2 linked regions of the Caenorhabditis elegans genome follow. The protein of the gene in region 1 purifies or fractionates together with the protein of each later gene. This does not show direct contact. Each region holds a gene or a part of one and is shown on either strand. Other genes may lie near its edges.

Region 1 (6,465 bases):
GGTTCTTTCTGATCTAGATATGTTAAGAGTCAGTCAAGAACCTGGAAGCCGGTTTCGTTTCCTTTTATAGGTGGAAATTTTCTTTTTCCAATTTTTTCTTTTCCAATTTTTTAAAAATTATTATGGTATCCATCAAATTAATGATTTTCAATTGTTTTGCCCACAAGCCATATTCTACACCTTATACCAAAAATTTTATTTAAAATTGTTCAAAGTTAAATACAATTAGAGACAATTCTCACCGTTTCTTCCCAGAATCAAAACTTCCCAGTCGAATCTACTCATATTCTCTTTGTCTAATTCCCGCTCTAAAGGTGAAAACAATCGTAGGTCAAATTCTCACTCCCGGAAATAGGTGCACATCGCCACACTAACACGACACCTTGGCACACAATTGCGAGATCAATTGTCTTCCCAGGAGAACGGCCCGCCCCATTTTATATAGGTTATATCGATCTCGAGGGGGACCATATAAAAGGGGAGGGTCCATGATCATTGCGCGCTAAAATAATGTTTTATTTTATTGAGTGTTCATTAGGGTTTTCTACTGATCCCATTCCAATTCATATTAAACTAGACTAGTCAGTCTCTCTTTTTTCATTTAGTCTTCAAATCCATTCTATTGCATTCTTTCATTCAGGTATACCTAGTTCAGTCTAGCTCCAAGTCTCCTGATGTGCGTTGACGTTCCATGTGAAAACTGCATTGTTCGCAATGACGGGCTCCGGCTGAAATGTTCTGAATGTGCTGAAGGATCCTCGAAGCTATTCCCAAGGTTAGTTGATTATTTGTGTTCGATATCAATAAATCCATAATTTACAGACAAAACCGTCAACACTCTTCTGCGATCAGCCACATCTCCAACTCATCGCCACCCACTCGGAAACGAAGCATTGATGGAGGATATACATCTGGAACGGATTCTGCGAATACTTCTGAAATTGTGATAAAGAAAAGACTAACTTTCTCAAAAAAGAGCCATTCAACTTCGGAAATTGAGACATGGAATGCCCATCTTCAAGTGGATTATCATTTGGAAACCGTGACGCCTAGCTGTTCTACCGTATACCAAAAAATCACTTCTGAAACGTTAATTGAAATCATGCAGAAGCTATCGCAAATTGAGTTTATGCAGAAATATATTCTAATTGATTGCCGATATGATTATGAATATAATGGAGGGCATATTAAGGTTAGTTTTTGCCGTTTGTACTACGTTTCCAGACTCCAAAGTCTTAGTGTGTACCTTTAAGTTTACAGTAACCCTCGTAATTTATATTCTCTCTTCGTGTCCGTGTATCATTTTAGTTTTTCAATAAATAGACTCTTTCGAGAGAAAATGCCATATGAGAATGGGATACTGTACTTCTTAAAACTCGTACTTAAAGAATCATGAGTCCGTTCTAATGGGTTCTGTCAAAAACAGAAAACACATTTAATTTTAGAATTAATAAAAAATCTACTTTCCTTCGTGGCAAGACCCTTCCAAACCAAATCATGCGCCTTTAAGTGTGCGTTTCAGAAAAAAGAATTATAATAACTGTTTTGAAAAAATACCAGAAAGTTAAAACTGCAAATCTTTTCAGGGAGCTCAAAGCCTGTTCAATCCAGAAACTGCTGCAGACTTCTTCTTCAACAAAGATGGTTCCAAGAAAATCAACCGGATACCCATTTTCTACTGTGAATACAGTCAAAAACGTGGACCAACCATGGCGAACAACCTTCGGGAAGTGGACAGAAAACTGAATTCAAATATCTATCCGAGATGTGATTATGAGGAGATTTATTTGTTGGAAGGAGGTTATAAAAACTTTTACGCTTTCACGCGGGGATTAGAGAAGGAACAAAGAGTACAACTCTGTGAGCCAGATAATTATGTAATCATGTTTGATGATCGTTATAAGGCTGAGCTTCGGAAGCACCAGTTCCATAAGAAGAATGTTTCGAAGCCAATGAAGAAATGGAGTTCAACAACATCTGTGATATCTATTCTAACAACTTCTGGAACTCGTATTTCGACACTTCGTCAGACATGTGATCCCATCCATGAGCACGATGCGCATTAAGAATATGTAGTTCCCGGTATCTTTTAAAAAGGATAATCAAATATTTTGTACTATTTATTATGTTTAATTATAATTACTAGTATCCAGGATAATAGGATGTAAATTAACTTTGATAAATAAACTGAATGATTTGTCAATAAACTTTTTGAATTATCCACAGCATCCCTGAGTTCTTGGGTCTTGTCCAGATCGTTTTGTAATGTGAAGCTTCACGAACTCTTCAGAAGAACATGGATGAATGGCAATTGTGTTTTGAAGATCAGACATTGAAATTCCAACACGGAATGCTACTGCGTAGCCTGAAATAATTTAGTGCAATCGGTTAGCTTTTAAAGTTTTCGTATCTTGATCGATTATCGAGGTTGTTAGTATTACCTACCCGCAGAATATTGTGAGTTGATTGCCAAAAGTACGGTACCTGAACTTGACACGATAAAATTTTTTCGCGCCTGTAAAGAATACTGTAGTTTCAGACTCTCGATTCTGCAGAAATTTTGTAGATTTTTAAAGCTTTTTGATAAAAATTTATTAATTGTCTCAAGTTGTGATTAAATCTTTAAAAAATCGATAAAAATTCTACAGCAGCGAAAGTTTAAATTTTCAGTATTATTTAAAGGTGCACACTTTCTTTGCATTAAAAATTGTCGTATCAAGCCGTATTTTTGGCGCAAAAATAGCAGAATTTTGCGTATGTGTAATATTATTCATTCAATAAAGAAAAAGATAAAAAATTCAAAATAACAGATTTAGCACGTAAGTTTTTGCGAACAGATTATGGTTTTTCGAACATTGTTCCAAAATTGAAGGTGTTCAGAAAACATTTTCGTGACGGGCGGGGCGGACTATTTCTCTTTTTGAATCAATTACCTTGAATTACTTCTGCGGCATTTGGTCCAACAAAATGAAGACCAAGAATTTTCTGCGATTCATCTCTTGTACACACGGCTTTCACATAACAAAAACCGCTATCCTTATTCTGTGGCACAACATACTCAAACGGAGTAAAATGAGAATGAAACACTTCGATCGAATCTTCTCCATGTTTCTGAATGGCTTCTTCCTCAGTTAACCCGACGGTTGAGAGTTCAAGAGGCGTGAATACTGTAGTGGCAACTCCATCGAATCGAACTATTTGTTTGGAATTTGAAAAAAGACGATCAGCTAGAAGTTTTCCGGATTGAATAGCAAGTGGCGTGAGCTCTTGGCGATCCTGAATACTATCATTTTTATTTTAAAAAAATGTTACTTTTTTTATCGTACCTGAACAATATCTCCAACGGCATATACACCATTACAGGAAGCTCTATCAAATTCATCTGCTAGAATCTTCCCAGATCTCTTATCAGTCCTCACTCCAGCATTATCCAAATTCAAACTTTTCAAATTTGGAACTCTACCAGCCGCCCAAATAACTGTATCATATTCTTCAACACCACCATTTCCAGTGAATGTAACCTTCTTCTTACTGCCAACTGCTTCTACACGTTCTACTTCCACGTGTTCCTTAACTTTCACTCCAGTTGTTTTCAGATGCTCCATGACAAAATGCACACAATCTCTATCAAAACCCTTCAAAGGAATTGATCTCACAAGAACTTCAACATTTTGATTGAATGCAGAAAGAAATCCAGCACATTCCAATGCAACATATCCTCCACCAACAATCAAAGTTTTTCCGGGAACTGATGCCAGTGTAAAAAGATCGTCTGAAGTGATTCCAAGTTCAGCACCAGGAATATTTGGATATTTGGGACGGAGTCCTGTTGAGATGACTACATTCGGTGCGGAAAGAAAATTCTGAAAATCTAGGATGAAATTTTTTAATTTTCCGTTTCCTAGCAATATTATTATTACCTAAAGTTTGCGCCAAAAATGCGGTACCAGGTCTCGACGCGACAAATTTTTGTCAAATGCGAAAAGTTGTGCCTTTAACGAGTACTGTCATCTCAAACATTTGTTGCTACGGAATTTTTATAGATTATTTTTATAGATTTTATCACAACTTGTTAGAATAAATTATGTTTTTTCGGAAAACTATATTGTCGTGTCGAGACCTGATACCGTATTCTCCTCCGAAAAGCCGCAAAACTTTTGGGTATACGGAACAAATTTTTTAAAACTTCTTTTTTCATTTTTCCAAACGTACCTTGGTTTTATTTTTGTCTGTACCAGTTATCACAATCTTGTCTTTATCCACAAACTCGGCATAGGCATTGAAGTAATTGATTTTTCTAAATTTCATAAAAATAAAAATTTCCACAAAATTAAAAAAAATACTTCTGATTTAATTGAACTCTATAAATCCAATTGTTTGCTTTTACTCGATCATTCACATTCTTTGACAACACATTCCAATCATGTTTGATTTTCTCTTGATCTATGCCATTCCAGCCATATTTGTCTGCGTGTTTTAGCTGGAATTTTGAATTTAGTGCTCTAAATATTTATAATATTATTCCTGCCTCTTTCCCGACGATTGCTGCTTGGTGCATTAACTTTTTAGGAATGCATCCGACATTTGCACAAGTTCCTCCGATTCCCCATGAATGTCCATGTGGAGTTGGCTCAACTGCATCAATTAATGCCACGTTTGCTCCAAGATCAGCTGCTCTTTTAGAACAAGAAAGTCCTCCAGATCCTGCTCCAATTACAATCAGATCAAATTTATTTGATGAGAAGAGACGCCTGATTGGTAGATGTCGTTTGAAAGTGGATAGAAGCATCAGAAAATTGATCTACAAATGATTTAAAGTTGAATTTCAATTTTCATTAGATTTTTGAAATCGCTATCGGATATTCGCAGATAATTCATTAGAATTGGATATTTTTTAAACAAATAACATTGCTTTTAAAATGAAAATTTTAATCTCATACTATTAATTCGTTTTTATTTTTATTAATTCGTTTTCAACACAAAATGGTACAGGGAATAAAGTGTATTATAATATTGTAGATAATTATATAGTACCGGTGAAAACTAGGAAAAATGGAATAAAAAGAAAATAGAACAGTTGAATAGCAAAGGAATGAAAAGTTGTGAATTAAGAGGGACCATAAAATGTGATACTATAGAGAATCAAGTTTGTAGACCCAATTTTCAAGTTCAATTGAAAAAATCAGAGACGACGAAGATTTCAAAAATACTTGGCTCGTGGTAACTTCATTCGACGTGCTGATAAGTTTTCCAAATTCAAGAGCAAGGTTTTCTGAAATGGAAACGTTTAATAGAAATGATGTTGAAACATTGGATTATACCCATTTCATATTTTAGTCCAATTGAACTGACGATTGTCTCCTTTTGAACAATTGGAATGATTCCACACATTTTTGTTGTCATTTCAAGATTGACATCAAGATTTGAATCCCCCTGAATTTAACTCTTAATGTTCACATAGGCCTGCCAAGGATTACTGTAGGAACAGCGAGAACCAAATTTCTAGAATCCAAAACGATCACAGGAGTTTGAGAATCAACGAATCTTATTAAAGATGATAACGTTGACATGGTGTGATCAAATCGTCCATTGAGACCTCCTAGAACAACGATATTCTCGAATTCCCAGCTTGTTAGTGTTTTCTGCTCTAAGCACCACTGAACGCTCTTCGAGAGATCTGTGTAGTCTTGATCAGGCAGATGGACGACTCTAAAACAACATTAAGAACAATTTTCGACAAAATATTTTTATTTTTTTAGTCCTGAACACAGAATGAATAACATTTAGTTGGCAAGCCAGAAATACCAAAAAAAGTGCAAAATCATTATTATGACCTGGTCAATACACTCTTCTCAACGAATTGTAGCTTTCAGTCTTCCAGTATTAAAAACACAACTCAATAATATTTTAATTTTATTTTCAACGTTCACGCCTATATATTCTTTTAGCTAATATTCAACAGCCGCTACAGTAATAATTCTTTGTGATCACTACAGTAACCCTACAGTAATTCTATCATTGCTCATTAATAGAAGATGTTATCAAACATGAAACACGATTACAATGAAGTTGAGTAATGCCTATATTAATTTTTAATTTCAGTAGAATTTAAACTAACTTTGCATTTTTTGTATCAATCTGTTTATTTATTGAATCGAAATCTCCGCAGATAATATGAGGCCATTCGACGAAACTCTTTCTGAAATCCAAAACTCGGTTTACGATAATTTTCAATTTCTGGATCCTAGATCACCTTTTAAGAATCTCATTAACAGCTCCATCAGTTGCAACTCGATATTTGGCCTTATTCCATAAATTTTCAGCGCGATTGCTGATTGCCGTAGGTTCACCGTTAAGCCAAATACATACTGATGCACACGAATCCTCTAAAATTTCGAATGGCTTCAATTTCTTTGACATTTCTCTGCAAAATTTTTATTTTTTGTAAGCTTCCACTTGTGATGA
Region 2 (7,907 bases), on another chromosome or scaffold:
AAAACCATTCCACTTTTTTGAATGGTTTAGGCTCTTCAAAGAGGCAAATGGTGAAAACTATGTGTAAAACAGAAATTTCAAATTTTTAGGAGAAACAATTTGTTTAATGAATGAAGTTATTTCATTGTTGGAAGCATGAGTTTCTGATAATTAGCGTCAGTGGGGATCTTTTCCAAATGCACCAATAATGATATAAAATAACCATATTAAAACACTCCAAAAGTTTTTAGATTAAAAAAAAACTTCCAGTCAGTCAAAGAAGTTTTGGCTAGTTGCCAAATTTTGGAAAACCTTTTAAGAAAATCCAGAGCAATGTCGCAAGAGTCTACCCTTATAATGTTTTAAATCAACTAAATAGAATACAATTAAAGTATAAAAGTCGTCGAAAAAATAAATTTTTTTTGACCTGCTTCCAAAATTATGAGAGGCAAAAACTCAGTAATTGCAACTTTTTGAGAGTGAATAAAATTTCCAAAAATTTTTTTGGAAAGATTTACTATGATAGTATGCCAACTTCAATATACCCCACACTTCTTTCCGCGATATTAATCACAGACACGTGTCACCTACGTGTAATCACCGATGATCATCCAGTAGTGCATATGCCAATCACGTCAGAGTTGACGGTCTCTCATGCTCCCATAATGCTTAGCTCGATTCATTTTTCCGTGCCTTCCGGTCATCGTTTACATTGTGTTGTTGCTGCACACTGCTCAACGCCTTGGGGCGGCGCGAAAATGCGGGAGGTGCAGAACCGGAATGATTGGCACTGTATTATAAAAGTACGAGCAATGTTCCGTCGACTTGGGACATTCTCAATTACACCACAATTGAGCGTCATGTGGAAGTACGCGGTTGTCTTTTCTGCTATTTTTCTCATCCGTGAGTAGGCTTTTTCATTTCTAATTCATTTTATTGTTTTTTTTTAATTTTAGATATTGTGGATGCTGGCTTCCAAATTTCACAGCTCAAACCATTGTACAAAGAGGATAATATTACTATCAGTGAGCTTTCCACAGCACTTGGAGCAGCCTTTCCACCATGTTGCTCCGATATCATTTCGAGCATTGCCTGTAGAAGACTTCAACAGCACAATCCTTCGAAGTTCCTAGACAGGTTGGTTTTTTTTTAAACTTCATTAATTGTTTCAAATGCTCTCTGAAATTAAATATGAAGTTCAGATGCGCTACTGACGCTGATTTCTCTTTGATCCAATGTTGTAACACTTGTGGAATGGAAAGCGCTGCCGATAGATACGAGCTCATTTTCCAAGCCGGCCACAAATCCAACCAATGTTTCGACCGCCATGGATCAGAGTTCTGCAAGCGATTTTTGAAGAAGGAGGATGTTTGGGGAAAGGTAGGTGACGCTTTTCTAAATGTTTTCTAGACCACTTTTTTTTTGCAGTCTCAATGGTCTTGCGACGGATCGACTGCACATTTGGCGTTCCGCATTTGCAGAAAAACTTGCAACTTTTGCCGCAGAGATATTTATCGCACACCGCTCGGTCGATTTGAGCCAGTGTCTTGTGGAAAACCACCAGTTCTCATTCCGAACTAAATGTCACACTGGAAACGTAATTTATTCATTCTTATTTTTTAATATTTCTTACTCATTTATTTATTTATCTATTCAATACTTACTAATCTGTTGTAATATATTTTCCTAATTTCATGACGAAAATTAACGAGATCTCGATCGAACCTTTTTAAAATTCCAATTTATTTATTTTAATGATTAATAAAATCTTCACAAAAAAAAAGCTTGGACTTTGAAATTCGTAAAAATGACAATCTTATCAAATGATGGACACTTTTGAGATAGTAAAAAACAGAGTGTAGAGGGCAATCTTATCTCTTCTCTCCATCTTTTTCCATATCGATCTTGTTCGATAACCAGAAAAAGTAGTGTTGTAGATAGTGCGAGCCCCATTCTAGGTCTATTACTCTCTATTTCTCACTATGTGTTCTCGATTTTTTGGCCAAAAACGTTCGTTTTCCAAATTTCTTCAAATTTCTCCACAAGTTAAGGAGGCTCTAGCTAGCGGAGAAGGAGTTGTCGCGCTGGAGAGTACAGTGATCACACATGGACTTCCTTACCCTCATAATTTAAGGTAGTGAATTGCAAATGCATTTGAAACTATTAAAAAATTATTTGCAGTACTGCAAGAAGTTTGGAGCAAAAAGTTCGATCATCAGGAAGTCATCCAGCTACGATTGCGTTATTTGATGGAAAAGTAGGTTTTTTCGCTAGAACTTGTTTCTGAAAATTTAAATTATTAAATGATACTTTTATTGCTGCCACGTTCGTTTTTCTAGCAGACTGCGACATTTTATACCAATATTTTCATATAAAACAATAATATTTTTTTATTCAAAAACTGCCAAAATTAGTGTTTCATCAACTAAAAATTCTTAGGAATTTTTGTGAAAACTTAAACGCTATAAAATTAAAAATCATTTTTTGAAAATTTTAAATAGTGTATACCTAAACATTTTCATTTTATTCAGATTCATGTTGGATTGGATGATGAAAAACTGGAACTTCTTGCTTCAAGTCAGAATGCAGTCAAAGTTTCCTCCAGGGATATCGCAAAGACACTGATTAAAGTAAGTTTGATCTACTATGATAAATTTTTCAATGTTGATTTCAGAAAGAAGTTGGAGGAACTACAGTAGCTTCAACTATGAAGATAGCACACGCAGCTGGGATCAGTGTATTTGCAACAGGTGGCATTGGTGGAGTACATCGTGGTGCAGATCAGAGTGAGTTGTTTCATGTGTTTGGTGTTTTTTTTTTGACCCGTGAAGTTTTAGGAAAATTGTTGAATTTGGACAATTTTTTTTACCATTTATTCAAGTTCTTTTTTTTCCGAACAGCAAAAAAATTTTCCAGCATTCGATGTTTCGGCTGATCTTCAAGAACTTTCGCAAACTCCCGTGTGTGTGGTGTGCTCTGGAGTCAAAAGCATTTTAGACATACCCAAAACTGTCGAATATCTTGAAACTCATTCCGTGAACTGCATAGTTTATGGGCAAGAAAATGTGTTTCCAAGCTTTTTCACTAGAACATCAGATAGAAAAGCTCAATTCTGCACTGAATCATTGGAAGAAGTTGTTCACCTGTTAAGTGAGTTGATGAAAAATATTGGTTCATGAAGTAAAGTCATGAAGTGTTTCAGAAACCTCGAAATCTCTCGGATTACCTTATGGAACTATTCTGGCTTGTCCTATTCCTGAAAAATATGCAGCTGATGGAGATGCGATCCAGAAAGCAATTGACCAAGCTGTTCAAGAAGCCATGTAAGTTAAAATTTAAATATGTTGCACTTTTTAAAAATATTTTTTGAAAAGTTCCCTGTTTTGCTTCAAAACTTTACTTTCAGTGAACAAAACATCGCTTCACAAAGTGTCACCCCATTCATTCTTGCAAGAGTGAACGAGCTCACACAAGGAGCTTCAATGGCTACAAGTATGCGTTTTGAACAATTTTTCCGCTGTTAATTGTCATTTTACAGACATTGCACTTCTCGAGAATAATGCGTCAATTGCTGGAAGACTAGCCGCAAAGCTCTGCGATAGACGTCCACTTACAATTTCACAGAGCCAACCAACTGCATCAACGACTCGAAAACCAAAAGTGGTGAGTCAAACCTACAATAAAGTTTTTTTTATTCACTTGCGAAATGTGGTATTGTTCTCATAAAAGTTTGAAACAACACAAGCTGTCTTAGCAAACAACCAACGCCTACTAGTTTCAATGACATTTATTTGTCAAACGTATCAAACAGATCACGACTGTTTTTCAGGTTTCTATCGGAGCAACTATCGTTGACTTTGAAGCCATCACGAGTGAAGATGTAAAGGTGAGAATGAAACAAAGAACAATTGAAAATGAGCAACAACAAAAAAAATCAGAAAAAAACATTTGGGGAATGGAGTATACCAAAAAAAAAAAAACCAAAAAAAACATGACAATTTAGAAAAGAAAAACTTTTGAAAAACACGTAAAAAATTATGATGAAAGAAACTTAGAGATTTGAGTGGTTTGCGGATTTTAAAGTGATTGAGCCGTGGAAAGTTGTCTGAAGGGGACCTAACGGTTCAGACATGGCACAGAAAAGTAGACACAAGTGAAACCGCCATAAAAAATTATTGAAAAAATTTTGAAAAGTTTCATTACGAAATTCGTTTATTTGAGTTCATTTTATTCGAAATTTGCATTATTAGATCAAAATTGCCCAAACCGTTTAAACTCATTTAAAAACAAAGTTAGAGAAAAATAATATACACTAGGTGAAACACTCTCGACAATTTGCTGCAACTCATCCACCAACTGCTGCAACTTTAGCAATGCCAAGCGAAGAAGTTGCTAAATTTGGGAAAAAGGTTGGATAAAATTGATCAAAGTAGGTAAACTTAGTAGAAAGTGCTTGGCCAAAGTTGTAGATATGTTTCTATAGTTCGTAGAAACGTTGCAAAAGTTGGTGTATAAGTTGTGACAAATTGCCGAACTAGTAAGATTCATCAAAATATTATTTTACCAACAACATCTCTTATACCAACATCACACCCTTGCAAACACTTTCACAAAAACCCCTGAACTGTCGGAATGAAAAAAGGAGAAACTGAACTGAACCCCCAAAAATTAAAACTGTTCAGTAACAGCAGCCGCCTCAAGTTGTCGTGCATTATGAGCAGCAATCGCTTGTTGTAGCTCTTCCCGAATTTCATCCCCACGGACCGTAAATTCGTTCTCCACCTCCTCGATTACAGAGTGCTTCAAGAAAGGTGAATATCCTGGGAAACTTTTAACGCGGCTGATTCCTGATGTTTGGGTTGACGTGCTGTCAGCCAAGTTGATATTGCTCTTGAAGCTCTCGATGTAACCATCTCCATGGCGGTCACTGAAATATAATTGTTGATTATTAATGCTCCTCAAGTCATAGTTATTACTATTCATTAATCATCTGAGAGTAGTATTCAAGTTCCGCCATTTCTGTTTCAACTTTCTCGATATCTTTTCGAAGAGCTGCGATCATGAACAACTTCAGCGGCGTGATCACACAAAAAGCAAGACATCCGACTATTTCTGTATTGGAATGGAGCCATCTGCAAGATTTTTTTGTTCATATAATTTCAGTTTTTCCTGAAAGATATGTTACCTCTTGAGATGAATATAGCAGTCATTGGAATGTCCAGTTGGGCAAAACGATTTTGTAACGTTTAGAAAATCTGAAATACAGAATTTTATGAGGGGAACAACTGTAGAAACTAGATACCTGCACATGTTTGTAACACTTCTTCGGGTGGGCAGCAAATCAAAGTCTGATAGACGTTATCCCAGACAGAGCATAGTTCTTTCTGAAAATTAATAACACGTGTTAAAAAATTACACAATTTATCAAAATTTTGCATGGTGATATTGAAAAATCTGAAAATGTTTTCAGTGTTCTAGTATAATTTTCAGCATTTTTGGACTATAATAAATGTAATTAAAGTTGATCATAATTGCAACCGAATGTATTCAAACTTTTTGAAACAATTTAGCAATAAGAACTGCGCCGGGAGCGGAAAAGTCATGAGATCCCAAATTCCACGTATATGTGCTAAAATGTGTAATCAAGACCATCTGATTTTTTTTGGTCAGAGTGATAGACTAATAATTTGGTAGGCTGAACTAGGCTGAAAACAATGCTGCATAGGTTTTTTGTCAGTGCGAGTTTTCAAATCATTAAAAAGGAGGTCTTGTAGAAATTGGACACACTGTATCAATAATTAGTATTCCTCAATGAGTTTAATAACTCCTATTTTTCCACGTTTTGTTCTGCACAAACTGTACTGGTTTAACTTTAAAAAATCAACCTAACTGTATACTTGGTTTTTCTCCCGGATTTCAAAATCTTGAATACTTACACTGCTATTGTGAAGTACTTGAATGTGGGAATATAGCGAGGTGTGAGCTGTGGACATGATGCTTGCAAAAACGAAAACCATGACAGCATCCACAATAAGTGTACAGCACTTTATCCAATGACAAAAAACGACAACGCCAATTTGTCTTTTCCGAATTGCAACAATTGATGCGATACACAAAAGTGCCTGAAAACAATGGTTTTTGATGATACATAGTGAAACTATTAAGTTCGGAGCTTTGCACTACTCACCAAACAAATATTGATGAAGCAGTATCCAAGAACATATGGATCATTCTTTTTGATAGGAATCAGCACGAATAATGGGCTTGTGAGCATGACAATCGTGGCGCCAAGAAAGAGAAAAACGGCAAGCAGGAGTATCATATTGCTCCCATAAAGCCATGCCGCTTTACCAAACCGCATGCTGAAAACTTGTTATAATTATGGCAAAGTGATTCTGAAAATCAATGATGAAGGTACAAAAAACAGGAACGGGGAAAGATTTTTGAAAAGAAAGACGAACAGGAAAACACACACCTCGCACATGTTTGTTTCTTCTTTCTCTCTCTCTCTACGAGGATTGATTGTGAGAGAAACAGTGCTGATGGCTCGTCTGTATGATTGATGAAAAGTGGGAGGCCAAGACAAAAAAAGAGAAAGAACAAAATAAAATAAATGAAAACTGTGTGGCAGAAGCTTCCGGCACACTGCCAATCGGAGAGCAAGCTTTCTGATTCATTGCTATTTGAACAAAGTATCAATGCGCTACTGTCACACATTTAAGTGATCGCTTCAAAGCACATAATGTTTTTTTTTCTAAAGAATTGAGATTGAGAATTTGATATTGAACTCCAATATATATAATATCCGGTAACACTTAAATGATTTCAGGATGATGGCGGCTCATACAACGGACAAGTGGTACAGCGAATGGGAGGAGTAGCAAGGAATCACGCGGATGCATTAGCAAGGTCAGAAATACTCGTAAATTAGAATGTCATCGCTTGTGCGTCGCGCTAAAAGACGCACCACCACTTTCACTTTTGGCACACAGTTTTCATACATTCACAAGAAATCGAAATGATATGTTTTTCTTCCTGACCATTTTTGTTTTGAATTGAAGAAAAAAAATTGCTAAGAATTTGTAGCGTGGTCAAAGTACAGTGCATATTGGGATAAATAATTGGAATGATGTGAAAATGTAGTGTTCAAATGAGGGGTGGGTAATTGCCGTTCGGCAAATCGGCAAACTTGCCGGAATTGCTCAACTCCGGCAATTTGCTAATTTGCCGTTTGCCGGTATCAGTTTGCCGGAAATTTCTAAAAGGATTTTCGATAAGGCGAAAACACTGAACCGTGCCATTATGAAATGTTTTCCTGTTTTTGAATTATATTCACATATAAATTGCTTACTTTCAAAATAGATGTAGGGTGATCCGTAGGATGCGTACAATTTTGCGGTTCAAAATTTAAATGTGTATAGAGTTAAAGAAAAAATGTGTAAAACCTTAATTTGCCGATAATTTTTGGCCATTGCCGTTTTCTGGCAAATTCGCCGATTTGCCGAATTTGGCAAAAATTTGAAAAACAGCAATCCACCCCCGGTATACTAAACCAAATACAGAAATACAAAATGTCATAAAACTAATCAAGTCCATTTGCATTTATGGACTTGTGGCTTTCATTTTTTGTTCAAACCAAAAGCACAAGCGAGACCTTTTAACTTCTCATCACATCAAGATAGTACAATGTCACTGTAAACTTCAAAGATGACCGACAACACAATACCACCAAACCTGATGCTCAAACGAAAGTAAATGTTGCCGAGGTATTTGTGTGGATCGCAAAAGAGCGAAAAAGTAATTTGAACTCGGTCTCTTTGGAATTCGATTTTTTTCTGCTCTTATTTTGACAAACATCCCAAGATCGTTGTTCAGTTTTGTAATTGTTTTGTGTACGATCAATTGTTTGATTGACTTTTGTCTGATAG

What was found.
Region 2: the proteins of trxr-2 (region 1) and T24C12.3 fractionate together in Caenorhabditis elegans (co-fractionation; one large-scale study listed by BioGRID). This does not show direct contact.

The regions. Positions count from the first base shown.
Region 1 is NC_003281.10:8,912,105-8,918,569, reverse strand, and holds trxr-2 (putative glutathione reductase 2), read right to left. Parts: upstream 4,802-6,465; 5' UTR 4,790-4,801; coding exon 4,529-4,789; intron 4,481-4,528; coding exon 4,344-4,480; intron 4,298-4,343; coding exon 4,213-4,297; intron 3,864-4,212; coding exon 3,327-3,863; intron 3,277-3,326; coding exon 2,934-3,276; intron 2,366-2,933; coding exon 2,217-2,365; 3' UTR 2,111-2,216; downstream 1-2,110. Other genes in the region: M-phase inducer phosphatase cdc-25.3, read left to right, coding at 675-775, 823-1,192, 1,587-2,066; tpk-1 (thiamine pyrophosphokinase 1), read right to left, coding at 5,133-5,272, 5,322-5,433, 5,478-5,709, 6,119-6,199, 6,254-6,420.
Region 2 is NC_003284.9:2,197,894-2,205,800, reverse strand, and holds the start of T24C12.3 (Carbohydrate kinase PfkB domain-containing protein), read left to right. Parts: upstream 1-1,907; 5' UTR 1,908-1,961; coding exon 1,962-2,113; intron 2,114-2,160; coding exon 2,161-2,236; intron 2,237-2,510; coding exon 2,511-2,609; intron 2,610-2,653; coding exon 2,654-2,765; intron 2,766-2,895; coding exon 2,896-3,129; intron 3,130-3,181; coding exon 3,182-3,302; intron 3,303-3,385; coding exon 3,386-3,471; intron 3,472-3,517; coding exon 3,518-3,642; intron 3,643-3,808; coding exon 3,809-3,865; intron 3,866-4,647; coding exon of another isoform or gene 4,648-4,906; intron 4,907-4,955; coding exon of another isoform or gene 4,956-5,111; intron 5,112-5,164; coding exon of another isoform or gene 5,165-5,234; intron 5,235-5,281; coding exon of another isoform or gene 5,282-5,363; intron 5,364-5,915; coding exon of another isoform or gene 5,916-6,101; intron 6,102-6,166; coding exon of another isoform or gene 6,167-6,340; exon of another isoform or gene 6,341-6,361; intron 6,362-6,808; coding exon 6,809-6,888; intron 6,889-7,907. Other genes in the region: T24C12.4 (ShKT domain-containing protein), read left to right, coding at 840-882, 936-1,116, 1,182-1,359, 1,408-1,560; T24C12.1 (Tetraspanin family protein), read right to left, coding at 4,648-4,906, 4,956-5,111, 5,165-5,234, 5,282-5,363, 5,916-6,101, 6,167-6,340.